3 linked regions of the Tribolium castaneum genome follow. The protein of the gene in region 3 purifies or fractionates together with the protein of the main gene of each other region. This does not show direct contact. Links are inferred from orthologs where the notes say so. Each region holds a gene or a part of one and is shown on either strand. Other genes may lie near its edges.

Region 1 (4,069 bases), on a different chromosome or scaffold from region 3:
ATTGACGGGCAGATCGAAAAACAGGACAAATTTCTCAAACGAATGACTGGAATCTTGCGACTGTATTTTGCCATTTTCATTGCCAAGCCAAAGCGGGGACAGACAAAAAACCCCTACGACATTACAAACGCGTGGATTTTTTTGGCCTCAATCCTAAAATTAAAACCACAGCTGGACATCACAGCAACCGTTTTGCACGTTTTCCTCGAAACTGTTGGTTTTGAGATGGAACTGGTCTACGGAATGGCCTTCAAGAAATTGGTTGTGATTATCATGGAGAAGTTCATGCCGACGTTGAAGAAAATTGATTCGGGGGGGCCCGTGACGAGGCTAGAGGTGCTGCTGCAAGACTATAAAAGCAAGGGGCACTTTGAAACGCCCAATGGGATTTTACCCAACAATTTCTGGTAATTTATTGTGTATATACAAGGAGAAATAAACTTTTATTAATTTACTGGTCCTGGTTTTTAATTAGTAACCTCCGATCGGGCTCGTTTTCTAACCCTAACTCTACTCTGTATACGACCCAGTTGTTGTCATGTTTACTGGCCCAGAAATATACTCGCCCTTTCTGCTTGGGCCCCCTTATGGGGACTTCGTAATGGGCGGAATTCTCGCTCGTGAAGTTCGTTTCCGTGTCGTCTAGGTCGATTTTTCCGTCTTTGATTGGCTCGCCGAGGAGGTGCACTGCCCCTCGGTTGGTTCGCACAGTCCTTAAGGCTTCTTTGTAATAAACGGTGCCTTTAATGTTTTGCTCAATCTTATTTCGGTATAATAAGCCCATCGTGACCGTCGCTATGCCCCCCACAGCCCCGATTTTCACCAAAGTCATGATATTACTCATTTCTGGAAAAACGGTTAAGGTTATGGTCGTTTCAGTGGTTGATTTTTCTACCTGATTACGACGAAAATTAACTGGGGCTTTCAGATTTGTAATTAGTACGGGCTTGAAGCACCGGGAGACCGGGGTTAGGAACGAGTCCGGCCCTGCATTCTCATTTTGTAGAAGCATAAAAAGTGTCGAAATTTTGCAACTTCTTTCGAGTTTATTTTGCCAATTTTTGCGCTACTTAAGGCCTATTTTGCGGTTTAAAATTTTATAAAATATTTCGGTTGTACGGTATTTCTAACTAACGGACGTTGGAAAGAGATAGTTGATGCGACTCAGCGTTGGGCAGAGAGAGACGGCGCGAATTTATTTTTAGAAAAGGTGAAACGTGCGAGAGAGAAAGCTGTATCGAAAAGTGTGTCGCAAGAGATGGTTGTTGGGTGCTGTTAATTTGTTGTGGGTTCATTGTTGTAAATATTTCTTCTTGTTTTGTGCTAATTATTGGTTCTACATCACGTATTTAATAATTTGTTGGGAAGTTGAGGTCGACTGATAAATCTGCTGCGCAGTGTTACCTAACCTCATTTTATAAATTATACAAATTATCTGCTCTCGGTTGTGCTATTGATATTTGTAAAGAAAATGGCACAGTGGGTAGGATACATGGTCTCAATTAAGTGCGCCGATGATACCGCTTATCAAGGTGAAATTAGCGCAGCTACGACTTCTCAGATTGCTCTAACTAAGGCTTTCTGCAACGGCATTCCCTGTCCTTCGAACGAAGTGACCATTAGGTAACCCAGTCTCTCCAACACCTCGAATTTGAGCATCGCATTTTAGGGCAAACGAAATCGAAGAGTTGAAATTAATTGACAAGCACTTAAGCTCACCTCCACAGAGAAGCACAATAACCATCGCCAAGCCAATCGCGAAGCGCGCTGGACGAACGCAGAGCACCTCAGATGTCGCCAATGCAGCATCCAAACATACAAATTTAAACGGATCTCACAGCAAATCAAAACCCATTGATATCGAACCCAAAACCACGAACTATAGTTTTAACGAATCCAGTTCATTCAAAAACGGAACCCCAGTCAGGCGAGAAAAGTCAAAAGGCAAGTGGTCCAAAGGCTGGAAGGACGAGGAGTGTTTCGGCTCGCCTTTGGACCACAAAATCAACAAAGACTTCGATTTTGAGAAAAATTTGGCGCTTTTTGATAAACAAGCCATCTGGGACGAGATTAACAACTCCCAGAAACCGGACGTTATTAAGAATGCCGACAGCAAGAAGCCGGCGAAATACAGGTTTGGCGAAAAATAGCGTGGCACAGTCACAGGGTTTGTTCCAGGCATGATGAAAATGTTATTGCAAGCACTCCAGCATCGTATAGGCAGATAATAGTGCCTAAGCAAGACTTTTGCGAGTATGTGACGGATGATGGGCTGATTATACCGAGCATTTCGAGGTCTTTGCGAAAGAAACTGTGGGAAGTGGCTGATAGAGTGGGGCTCACGTGGGATAAGAGGGTGGAGCTGTTTGGGAGGGCAGCTGCCGAAATTTCGGTACAGTTATTGGGGGGCGGGCATAGGTTGAATCCTCACAACTCGCACCAGTTTCCCACTGTTGTAGTGCTGTGTGGGCCGCACAAGTAAGTTTGTTTAATTTTCCGAGCTCATTTGAAGGCAGTGAGCTTGGTAAAAATCATAATTCTCCACGTTTAAATAAGAAGCGGTATTAGAAACATTAAAACAAGGGCAACAGACTTTTTTTTTGGTAATATTTTAAGCCTTTTTTTAATATCTGAATCCTAGACGTTTCCGATAGCAACGTGTTTTCACTATTTTAAAACACGCTCCCCATAGCAACGTGTTTTTCATTAAAATGTTCCAACAAAAAAAAAGTTGAATAATATTTATGCGAAAATGCTTAAAGTTCTCGAGTGTCCAGGTATGTCACTCGTATACGCTCGTTGTATGACAGTCCTCGGACTTTAAGCTTGTGTTTTCGTACTCATATTGTTAATAACTATATTGCACAAAACACTGATAACAATAAAAATTCTCTACTTTCGTTTAGAATTCTTTAAGATTATTCTGATTCTTTCCTAAAGCTGTTCTGCATCTGAAATCTCTGGATTCTTGTTTAGATATTTTTATCATTTTTTAAAGCTAGTCAGCGTGTACTCTTAAATTTTCCGGCATACAATTGAGTCGTTTACCAATAAAAAAATTATTTTTTTTTAAGAATATTTTAAGTAGCATGATTTAAATCTGAATTCGTACAATACTTGTTAGGTTAGTTGTAAATAGACCATTCAACCTTATAACTGTTTATTGACTAATATCCCGGAGCATTGAGGGTGCGTCCAGGCCCCTTCTGCGACATAACCTAACTAACTCACTCTGCCAAAAAACCCCCCTCCAACTCCCGTGTCGCCCACGTGAGAGTTGCCAACCTAACATCCCCCCTTTTAAATACAAAACTAAGCTAAATATGAAACTAACTACCTGAGGTATCAAAATATACATATTTCAATAACAATAATAATCTTGGTATCTTTTGGGTCTTCTGATTGGTCTTTTCTTTGGTTCCTCTGATTCGTCTGGTTGTTCTGGGTCATGTTCGGGTTCATTATTTCTGTCTGGTAAGGGCTGAAGATGTCTTCGATTTCGTCTGACGCAACCGCCGTCAGTCTCGATCAAATATGACCTTGGTTCTTCACATCTGCGTTGTACTTCTCCCTCCTTTTGCATATTTATGATCCATACGCGATCACCTTCTTTTAGATTTTTCTCTTCTTTTGTTACTCGGTGTCGTTTGTCGTAGTTGGACTTCTGTTCTGCTTGATTGTTGATTAACGTTTGTCTGACAGTGTCATGGTCGATAGTTGCAGGTTTTAACCCTGAAGGTAACCTTGGCAGTCTGTCTCGAAGGTTTCTGCCAAAGAGCAGTTGGGCAGGTGACAATCCACATTTAGTAGGTGTATTGCGGTAGGTAAGAAGTGCAAGATATGGATCTTCATTTTTCCTCAATATCGTTTTGAGCAGCTTCACAGCACTTTCGGCTTGTCCATTTGACTGTTGGTAATGGGGACTACTGGTAATTAACTTAAATCCATATTTTCTGCTGAAAGTTCTGTATTCGTGACAATCAAATTGTTTGCCATTGTCGGAGCGGACAACTTCGGGTATACCATGTCTAGCAAACATTTCTTTGAAGGTCTCGATAACAACTTTGGC
Region 2 (4,060 bases), about 6.2 Mb from region 3:
CGTTTGCCGTTTAGGTCGGTTTGAAACTCCTCAGGGTAGTATGATTTGATCAGCGAATTATCATCAGTCATTAAGGAATGGTAACATTCCGGGAGGAGTTTTTTACTGGCTGGGGGCAACACAGCCAGTAATTGTTCGTAAGGTTTGAAGGGTTTTCCGAGCTCAAAGTCGATTTTCAAATCGGAAAAACCCTTAATGTCGGAGATGTAGGGCGAATAGTGGTGTGGATAAAACCACGACCATGAGCACACTCCGTTGTAGTAGTAATTCAAGTTCCATTGGATGGCACGGACGTAGCCTTCGGCTTGCTCTCGCATCACTTCTCGCGTCACCTCTTGGAACTCTAATTTATTACGATAATACTCGTCTTTGTAACTTTTGAAAGCCTCGTCTTCTTCTGATGAAATGCTACTTTCGAAGTCTTCTTCATCGGAAGAGACGGCCTTTGCATTGAAAATGTTCAATTGGGAGAGTTTTTTTTTAAACCAGGACTTACCAAACTATCGGTTGCTGCTATTAATTCAGCAAGTGCGGGGTCAATTTTTTTCTCCTCGCCGTTTTTAACAGGTTTAGACTAGAGTGTAGAAAAAATAAAGTTTACTAAATATTAAACTTTTCATATTGTAAAATAGCGTATTCAGTGAAAATCTATTACGTAACGTAATATTTTATTTTTAGTTTTTTCACGGTTTAATGGATTTCCAAATAACAATAATTATAATCATTTTTGAAGGAAAAAAACAATATTAGGTCTTCTTAATTAGCATGTTTAAAAAAGTACACAAACTTACAGTGTTTTTATGGGCTCTCAGCTAAAAATTAGACGGTTCCGAGCCTCTCAAAAAGCGAGACCAATAAAAATTAAAAAATATAAGAAAATTAAAACAAACTTCAACAATTAACGTGATGTTTAATAAAAATAACAAACCCAATTATTTTGGAAATAATTTAAAACTGTCAAAAACAAGAAATTGTTCTAAATGAAAATGTGCTTAAATGCACAAAACATAAAAAATAACACCATTTTCGAGCAAAGTCAACGTTTTCTCAGATTATTTTTAAAGAAATACCATGCAATAATCAACGTCTCTGTACGAACAATGTCATAATAAAATAAAAAACTAGAAAAATAATGATAATCATAATTTATTGGTTCTGGAGAAGCAAATTTAAGAAAATTTCGCTCTTTAATCTCAAAAACGTACTTAAAAGATGAAATAATCTAAGATTTTTGCAACTAATTTGGTAATTTTTCGGTTTATTATTCATGCAAAACAATTGCGTTTGCACCTGAAAGATGTGTAAAACGCTCGAAAAAGGCAAAATTGTTTACTTTTTTGCATTATTAGAATAACTTACACTAACGGGAAGATGCGCAGTTGCTTTTCTCCCAGTTTTGCGTTCAAAATACGTTAAATCATCTTGGATTTCCTCAAAGTTTTTTATATCTACATCTGCCAACTTTTTCATAAATTTTTCGAACCGCTCTAAATTCAGCGTTCCGGCTTCATTAATGTAGCCTACAAAAACGAATTACACAACATTTTGAGTAAGAATAACGAAAATAACCATCTAATGTTGGTAAGACTTCAATGTAAGCTTTATAAAGAACAGGTAATGCTCCATTAGAGATGTGCAAATTAGGCAAATTTGGTATAAAATCGTTTCCAACAAGGAAGCCCATCAGAATCTAAAAGCATTAATTTCAGTCACATTTTTCCAAAGTTTTAGTTAGTACCCAGTCGTCAATAATGTTTTCAATGTCAAATTTAATCTTATCTGAATCCTTCAAAGCCTCCTTGAGAGGCGAAAATTCCATTTCTAAATACTCTCGCATTAAAGATAAATGCAGCAGATAAAATCTTATCTCTTCAGGTACATTGCTTCGTTTGGCTTTTTTGCCAAACTTGACCTCTTCCCTCAACAGTGAGAAGTGGGGGTCATGGGTGCACAACCCCAACATAATGAGATCAGCGTCCAAGCCATAAAGACAGTGGCGCGTATTTGGATCATACCCAGGCTGGGACCTAATGTACCTTATATAATCCATGATCTTATGCTCCCCTTCGCCGGGCGTCTCATGCCCTGATAAAATTATTTTACACTTTTTCCACATATTGTCGGTTGAAACTTTAGAAACGACGAAATATTTCAACTGTTCGTGCAACCTGGCCATGAACTCAGTGCCAGGTGTGATACAATTTGAGTCAAAACGTTCCACGTCGGGCAATTTCTCGCCCTTTTTTTTCGCCTCAAGTTCCATTTTTTCCGCGTCTTTCGCCGACCGAAACCGGCGTCCCCTTTGCTGGTTCATTTTGGCTCTGGGCGCCACCCCGTCCACTGCCATGAAGAACACCTTTTGGGGCTTGATCATCCGGAATAAAAATTCAATATAGTGGAAAATGTCCGCGAATATCTTCTCCTCGGTGATTCGAAAGTGAGGGTTGTTGTCGTCCGGATGCGAACACATGTGGATTATGCCGTTCATGTCCAAATACAAATTATCAAAAACTGGGATCTGAAACCCAGAATGTGGACGTGTTGGGTGCTGGCTGCGGTTTACCTGATATTCTTTCACAAATTCACTCAAACAAGGGTAGCGTTCGCTTATGTATCTGAAAAACTTGGGAACCCCCATGATTTAGGCTTGTTTTCAGTGCGGGTCTCAACGTCGCTCGCAAACTCTAAGACGCATGTAAATATAGAGTGTGTTTGAATGAAATGAAAGAAATAATCCACCAAAAGCTCTATATTCAATTATGAAATGCTCATCACAACTCACAACAAAAAAGAAAAATATGTCGTTTCGAATGACAGATGACAGAAAACGTGGATGACCCTAATGTCGGCTTTACACGCCACTGGCGTAACCGTACCGCAACGTAGGGCAAAGCAAATTATCGCTTCAATGACTATTTTATTTGCAACTGCAGTTCAGAAGAAATGGAAATAAAACCAATCTCGTTATTTAAAATATTTATTGTTACAAAAATAGTTAACATAACAATAATAAAAATTCATGTTAAATGCATTTATTTCCGCCAAATAAATAAATAACTTAATGAAAAAACAATTAGGTATTCGAAACCTTTTGTCAGTGAAAAATTTACAGTACGTTTTGACGCTTTTACGTAAAGGACATAAAAATAAAACAAGACATAAATAGACGAAACTATGTTACATCATTGAAGGCACGTAGAAACAACCTAGTCAAATTTATGAGTGATAAGAGGGAACCTCACGATGCGCAATTGATTTCCGTAATCACAGACCACAGCATCGCGTAACAACATCAACTGTTTGATAAAAATATACGGTGAACGGCCTAATATAATCGTTCGGACACATTCACCCGACCTCACATCCCAAATAACTAGCCCTCCACTGCGAGCTGTGACAACCAAATGAGGGGCCAACATCAACACCTGGCTAGAAAAGGTCTGAGAAACGTAAATGGTGTTCAGAAGATGGCCTTGGAAGCGCTCCCAAACACAAATGCGGTCGTCAGAACCCAGTGAAATCACGTAACTCGCAGAGTACGTCAGCGATGTTATCGTACCATCATGGGCCTGGATGTTGTACATACAGGCACCTGTAACGACGCTCTCATTAAATTTCGGCCTACCACCAAACCTATTTACCAGTTAGAAGATCCCAAACGCAGAGCATTCCGTCCTGGGAGCCACTGCCAGAAGTCGCTGGACTGATCCTGTCAATGAAAAGACAGGTGATGGGGCCGCAGTGGCCGTGCAGCGTGTACTGGGGGCTGCCGTCCTCCAGTCGGAACACTTTAAGCGTGTGGTCTTGGCTGCCGGTTAAAATTCTGCCGCCTTCACAGTCGAGGCAGATAATCGGCTGTTGGTGTGCCTTAACGCTGAAAACTTTCAAACACCGGAAATCTTCCTCATCCTCGTTCTAAAAATCGTAATTTGGAGAAATATTCAGAGTTAAAAATGATAATTTACTTGTGAAATTAAATTGGTGTGATCAGGGACGGAACCAACTGAGCCAGTCCTTACGTGGGTTCTTCGGTATGCGCAAGTGAAATTCCAGTCAACTG
Region 3 (4,129 bases):
CATTGTTTATATTTATATATCATTCAATGTCCGAATTAAACACACAAAGAACAATGACTGACCAATCATTATTTAAAACGCAGTAAGCAAATCTGCTAGTGATAACTTTGGTGTTTACAAGTGAGATTGTTACAATACTCAGGAAATTATTTATTGTACTTTATTTATTTTTGTGAAAATGAAGTATCTGTTTTTACTTTGCATTATCTGTGATTTATTTATAACAATATTGAGTTATAAGCCAGTTTTTTTACTTCATGGAATCATGACAGGAAGTGCTAGTATGGAAATAATCAAAGGTCGGATTGAGGAAGTAAGTTGTTTTTTTGCACAATGAAAAAAAAAAAATAATTATGACACCAGCAACACCCCGGTACAATAATTTACAACACTAATCGATTTTCTGGTTGGTCAAGTCTGGAAAACATGTGGTATCAAGTCCAGCAGCTTGGCCAAGATCTCCTAAACGTTTCAAGTCAACATCCTGAAGGGATACACTTATTAGGTGTGTTTTATTTTGTGGGAAAAAAACTGAAGAGTCAAATATATTGTAGGTTATTCACAAGGGGCTCTCCTTTCACGAACAATTCTACAAACATTTAACAATCACAATGTTCATAATTTTATCTCACTCAGTGGCCCCCAAGCCGGTCAGTATGGAAGTACGACCATTGTAACCAACATTGAAACATTTATAATTGTTAATAAAAATAATTTTAGCGAATTTTTTACATTTGATTTTCCCAGACTTGGCACTCAAATCAGCTTTTGAATTATTTTACTCGAGGGTAGGCCAACACACCTCAGTCGGTAATTACTGGAACGACCCTTACCACCAAACTTTATACAAAGAATATTCCCAATATTTACCATTCGTGAACAATGAAATTATTTCAAACAGAAGTGAGGAGTTCAAGAAGGGAATAACTAAACTTAACGCAATGGTGCTGATTGGGGGCCCTGATGACAACGTGATAACCCCCTGGGAGTCAAGGTATACTTCAATTTTTGTAAAATTAATAATTTTGTAAAAAATTTTTCAGTCAGTTTGGATATTTTGGCCAAAATGATACAGTGGTCAACTTAATCGATCGTGATATTTACAAGGATGATCTTATTGGACTGAAGACTTTGGATAAGGCTGGAAAATTAAAAATTATCACTGTCCCTGGTGTTAACCATTTTATGTGGCATCTCAATACCTCAATCGTCGACAATTATATTTTACCATACCTTGATTAAGTCAACACCAAACTGTAGTCAACAATTAATAAAACCTGAAAACTAGGTTGGCGCCTTTTTTTAAAGTTCGCTTGGTGCCAATATCACGACCCAAATCCACTAAAACGAATTTTTTATTTGACGTTTGACGATTTATCTTTTCTTTTTAGAGTGACTTTTAATAAGTTGGGATAAGACACACGTAAGCCCACATTTTTCAATAAATTTGTTAATTTTTGAGACGCAATATGTGCGATTTTCGTGTTTTTTATATTGAGTCCGGTTTGGTTTTTGTGTTTTTTACCACTCTTGGTTTATAGAAAATGAATTCGCCACCGCTCGCCCCTCAAGACGACGTGATCCAAAACATGTACGTATGAGCAGAAATTTGAGGTTATGTTTGAGGGAATTGGTGTTTTTGCAGCAGTTACACCGATTCTGATACGGAATATTCTGCAAAAATTGTGGGTCATGAAGTAACAGTTCAGTGTAACTCGGGACAGCATAACCATGGAAGTTCTAAAGTGAAACTTATCAATCGGATTGATTATAATTGGGAGTTTCACTATTATCGCGGACAATTGGTCGCTGTTCACATTAATGGAAAAATTATTGCTTATGGGATGAAGGGGAAAGACGGGGGCATGATCCGAGTTACGAACCAAGAGACCAACGAAAGAGCACTAATCAAAAACTTGAAAAATGATGTCAAAGACCTGTCTTTTGCTTTTTCACGCCAACAGATTATTTTAGGATGTATTGACGACGAAGGCAATGTTTTCATTTATGAAATCATTGATGAACCTAGTGCAATAAAGTATCCTTCAAAATTTTTATTAAGCAACGTAAAAAAATAAAAAAGGCCCTTAACTAGCCATTAGATACAAACAACTACTCCACATATTCCACAGTGATGTGGTCCCACATTCAAGCCCCAACTTTCGAATTATCTGGTGTCCCTACTTGACCTGTTTTGACGAGGAAGAGGAGACACCAGATGATCCTGAAAAAATGTTTGTGGTATTAAATTGGGACAAAGCCGAAATATGGAATTTTGGCATGATTAATGCAAAGTATGGGCCAGGTCCTTTACAACCAAATGAAAACTATGAGGGTTATGTTGAAATTAGCCATACTGCTGAATTGGTAGATGCTTCATTTTCGTCAGATGGGACCGCTATTGCAATTGCTTGCTTAGACGGTTATGTGAAATTTTTTCAAGTACAAAATAACGCAAAACAGGTCATTGTTCACATTTTTGGTGTTTTTAGATTTACATGGTTGACAATGAAAAGCAAAAGTGCTTGCATGAGTGGAGACCACATGATGGTAAACCACTATCTTCTATCATATTTGTCGACAATTTGCTGGAGTGCAGTTCTCAGTAAGTACATGACAAAATGATTAAATTAAAGTCGGTAAAAATATTTATTTTACAATTGGAGCCGTCTAAATGCAAATCTCGTTCTTTGTCAAAAATTCGAAAAATATTTTCTATCTGCTGCCTAATCGTTTTTTTAATTGTTTTAATTAATTTCGGTTTGCTTTAATTATGTAGGTATTTAAATTATTACAATTATTTACATAAATTAGATGTAAAACTCACTCTTTGCTCTTTGTAAATCTAAATTCCTATTTTATCCCTGAACTATCATTTATACAGCATACGACATTCAATTTTTACAGTTATAATGAAACCACATAAAGAAAAATGCTCTTTAAAAGTTATTTTAACTTTAAAAAATAGTTTTTCGCAAATATCTCAAAATTAACTCATTGTCAAAGAGTCAGTTTTGCATTTAGACGGCTCAATTGCAAATTGCATGTCAGAATAAGAAATTTAAAAACTTACAATGATATTTTTCCTGTTTGTCCTGCTGCTGAAGCAACATATTATTCAAAGACAAAATAATATTGGCTCTGACTAAAATGTTGCTGCCATTTCTCAGGTGTTGGAAATTCACAATAACGGGTGCGAATCACAACTCTGAGCTAAAGTTGTGGTCTTGTGAAACGTGGACTTGTCTCCAGACAATCCATTTCAAACCAGATCCATCGAATCTAATCCAAAGTGTTTATCTTAAAATGAGTATAGACTACTCGGGTCAGTATTTATTAATGTCCGATCTAAACAATAAAGTTTTATACGTCCTGCAATTAAAACGAAGCGATGAAGCTCAACAAATATCAGTAACAATGATATCGCAATTTTTACTACCAACTGCCTTTTTGAGCTTCCACATAACCGAAGCCAACTGTCGCAAATTACGTTCGTCCGATATGAGTGAAGAGTTTTCACAAGATGCCGATCAAGATGACGATGATGAAGACGATACTGTTGCAGCTGTTGTTATCAAAATGTTGGTGATTCAGCAGAAAAAATTCCAAGAGTGTAATATTGTATTTCAACCAGATGCGATGTTGTGTAATACTGAGATTATATTTAATGAAATTAAAGAGGAATTGGAGAAAGTGCCAAAATTGGACGATCTTCAGTCATCCGTTACTTTATTAATAAAACAACAGCAACAGCAACAATTAACTTTGATGACTCCTGACGCTTTTACAACAGCTGAACAAAACTCTCGTCCTAATAGTGTCAGAACTAGCATCAATGGTGATATTAATAAATCAACCGAAGGCACAAATGGCGATACTGTTGAGAATTTGATTGATTTTCAAAGACCTGAAAAGGATAATTTTGCAAGTGGAGGTTCTAGTCCTAGTAGAGAAGTTCAGGAAATTCTATCTCTTAACAATTCAACGTACAGCACTCAGGACTATTTCGATAATTTAACGAAAATGCAAGAAGAACAAGAAATACCCCAGAAGGAGTACAAACATAACGAAAATCTCATGTACCAAGAGAACCCCAATCCTGAAATGGTTTGGCTGAAACTACCTCTAG

What was found. Proteins that work in one complex are often made in the same cells at the same time.
Region 1: the proteins of Ge-1 (region 3) and Edc3 purify together in Homo sapiens (affinity purification with mass spectrometry; 6 studies listed by BioGRID and IntAct, with this or other methods). This does not show direct contact. The link is inferred for Tribolium castaneum from reciprocal best matches to the Homo sapiens genes EDC4 and EDC3.
Region 2: the proteins of Ge-1 (region 3) and pcm purify together in Homo sapiens (co-immunoprecipitation; 4 studies listed by BioGRID and IntAct, with this or other methods). This does not show direct contact. The link is inferred for Tribolium castaneum from reciprocal best matches to the Homo sapiens genes EDC4 and XRN1.

The regions. Positions count from the first base shown.
Region 1 is NC_087396.1:13,257,825-13,261,893, reverse strand, and holds the start of Edc3 (enhancer of mRNA-decapping protein 3), read left to right. Parts: upstream 1-1,239; 5' UTR 1,240-1,471; coding exon 1,472-1,623; intron 1,624-1,669; coding exon 1,670-2,134; intron 2,135-2,178; coding exon 2,179-2,478; intron 2,479-4,069. Other genes in the region: mRNA export factor Gle1, read left to right, coding at 1-411. UniProt on the Homo sapiens protein: Binds single-stranded RNA. Involved in the process of mRNA degradation and in the positive regulation of mRNA decapping. May play a role in spermiogenesis and oogenesis.
Region 2 is NC_087398.1:6,306,419-6,310,478, reverse strand, and holds the start of pcm (5'-3' exoribonuclease 1), read right to left. Parts: upstream 2,831-4,060; 5' UTR 2,639-2,830; coding exon 2,564-2,638; intron 2,519-2,563; coding exon 1,739-2,518; intron 1,691-1,738; coding exon 1,570-1,690; intron 1,521-1,569; coding exon 1,360-1,520; intron 575-1,359; coding exon 497-574; intron 444-496; coding exon 1-443. Other genes in the region: SCAP (sterol regulatory element-binding protein cleavage-activating protein), read right to left, coding at 3,207-3,592, 3,642-3,915, 3,966-4,060. UniProt on the Homo sapiens protein: Major 5'-3' exoribonuclease involved in mRNA decay. Required for the 5'-3'-processing of the G4 tetraplex-containing DNA and RNA substrates. The kinetic of hydrolysis is faster for G4 RNA tetraplex than for G4 DNA tetraplex and monomeric RNA tetraplex.
Region 3 is NC_087398.1:143,840-147,968, reverse strand, and holds the start of Ge-1 (enhancer of mRNA-decapping protein 4), read left to right. Parts: upstream 1-1,287; 5' UTR 1,288-1,423; intron 1,424-1,541; 5' UTR 1,542-1,544; coding exon 1,545-1,591; intron 1,592-1,645; coding exon 1,646-2,038; intron 2,039-2,102; coding exon 2,103-2,442; intron 2,443-2,492; coding exon 2,493-2,605; intron 2,606-3,170; coding exon 3,171-4,129. Other genes in the region: lysosomal thioesterase PPT2 homolog, read left to right, coding at 179-313, 364-505, 555-662, 721-994, 1,044-1,242. UniProt on the Homo sapiens protein: In the process of mRNA degradation, seems to play a role in mRNA decapping. Component of a complex containing DCP2 and DCP1A which functions in decapping of ARE-containing mRNAs. Promotes complex formation between DCP1A and DCP2.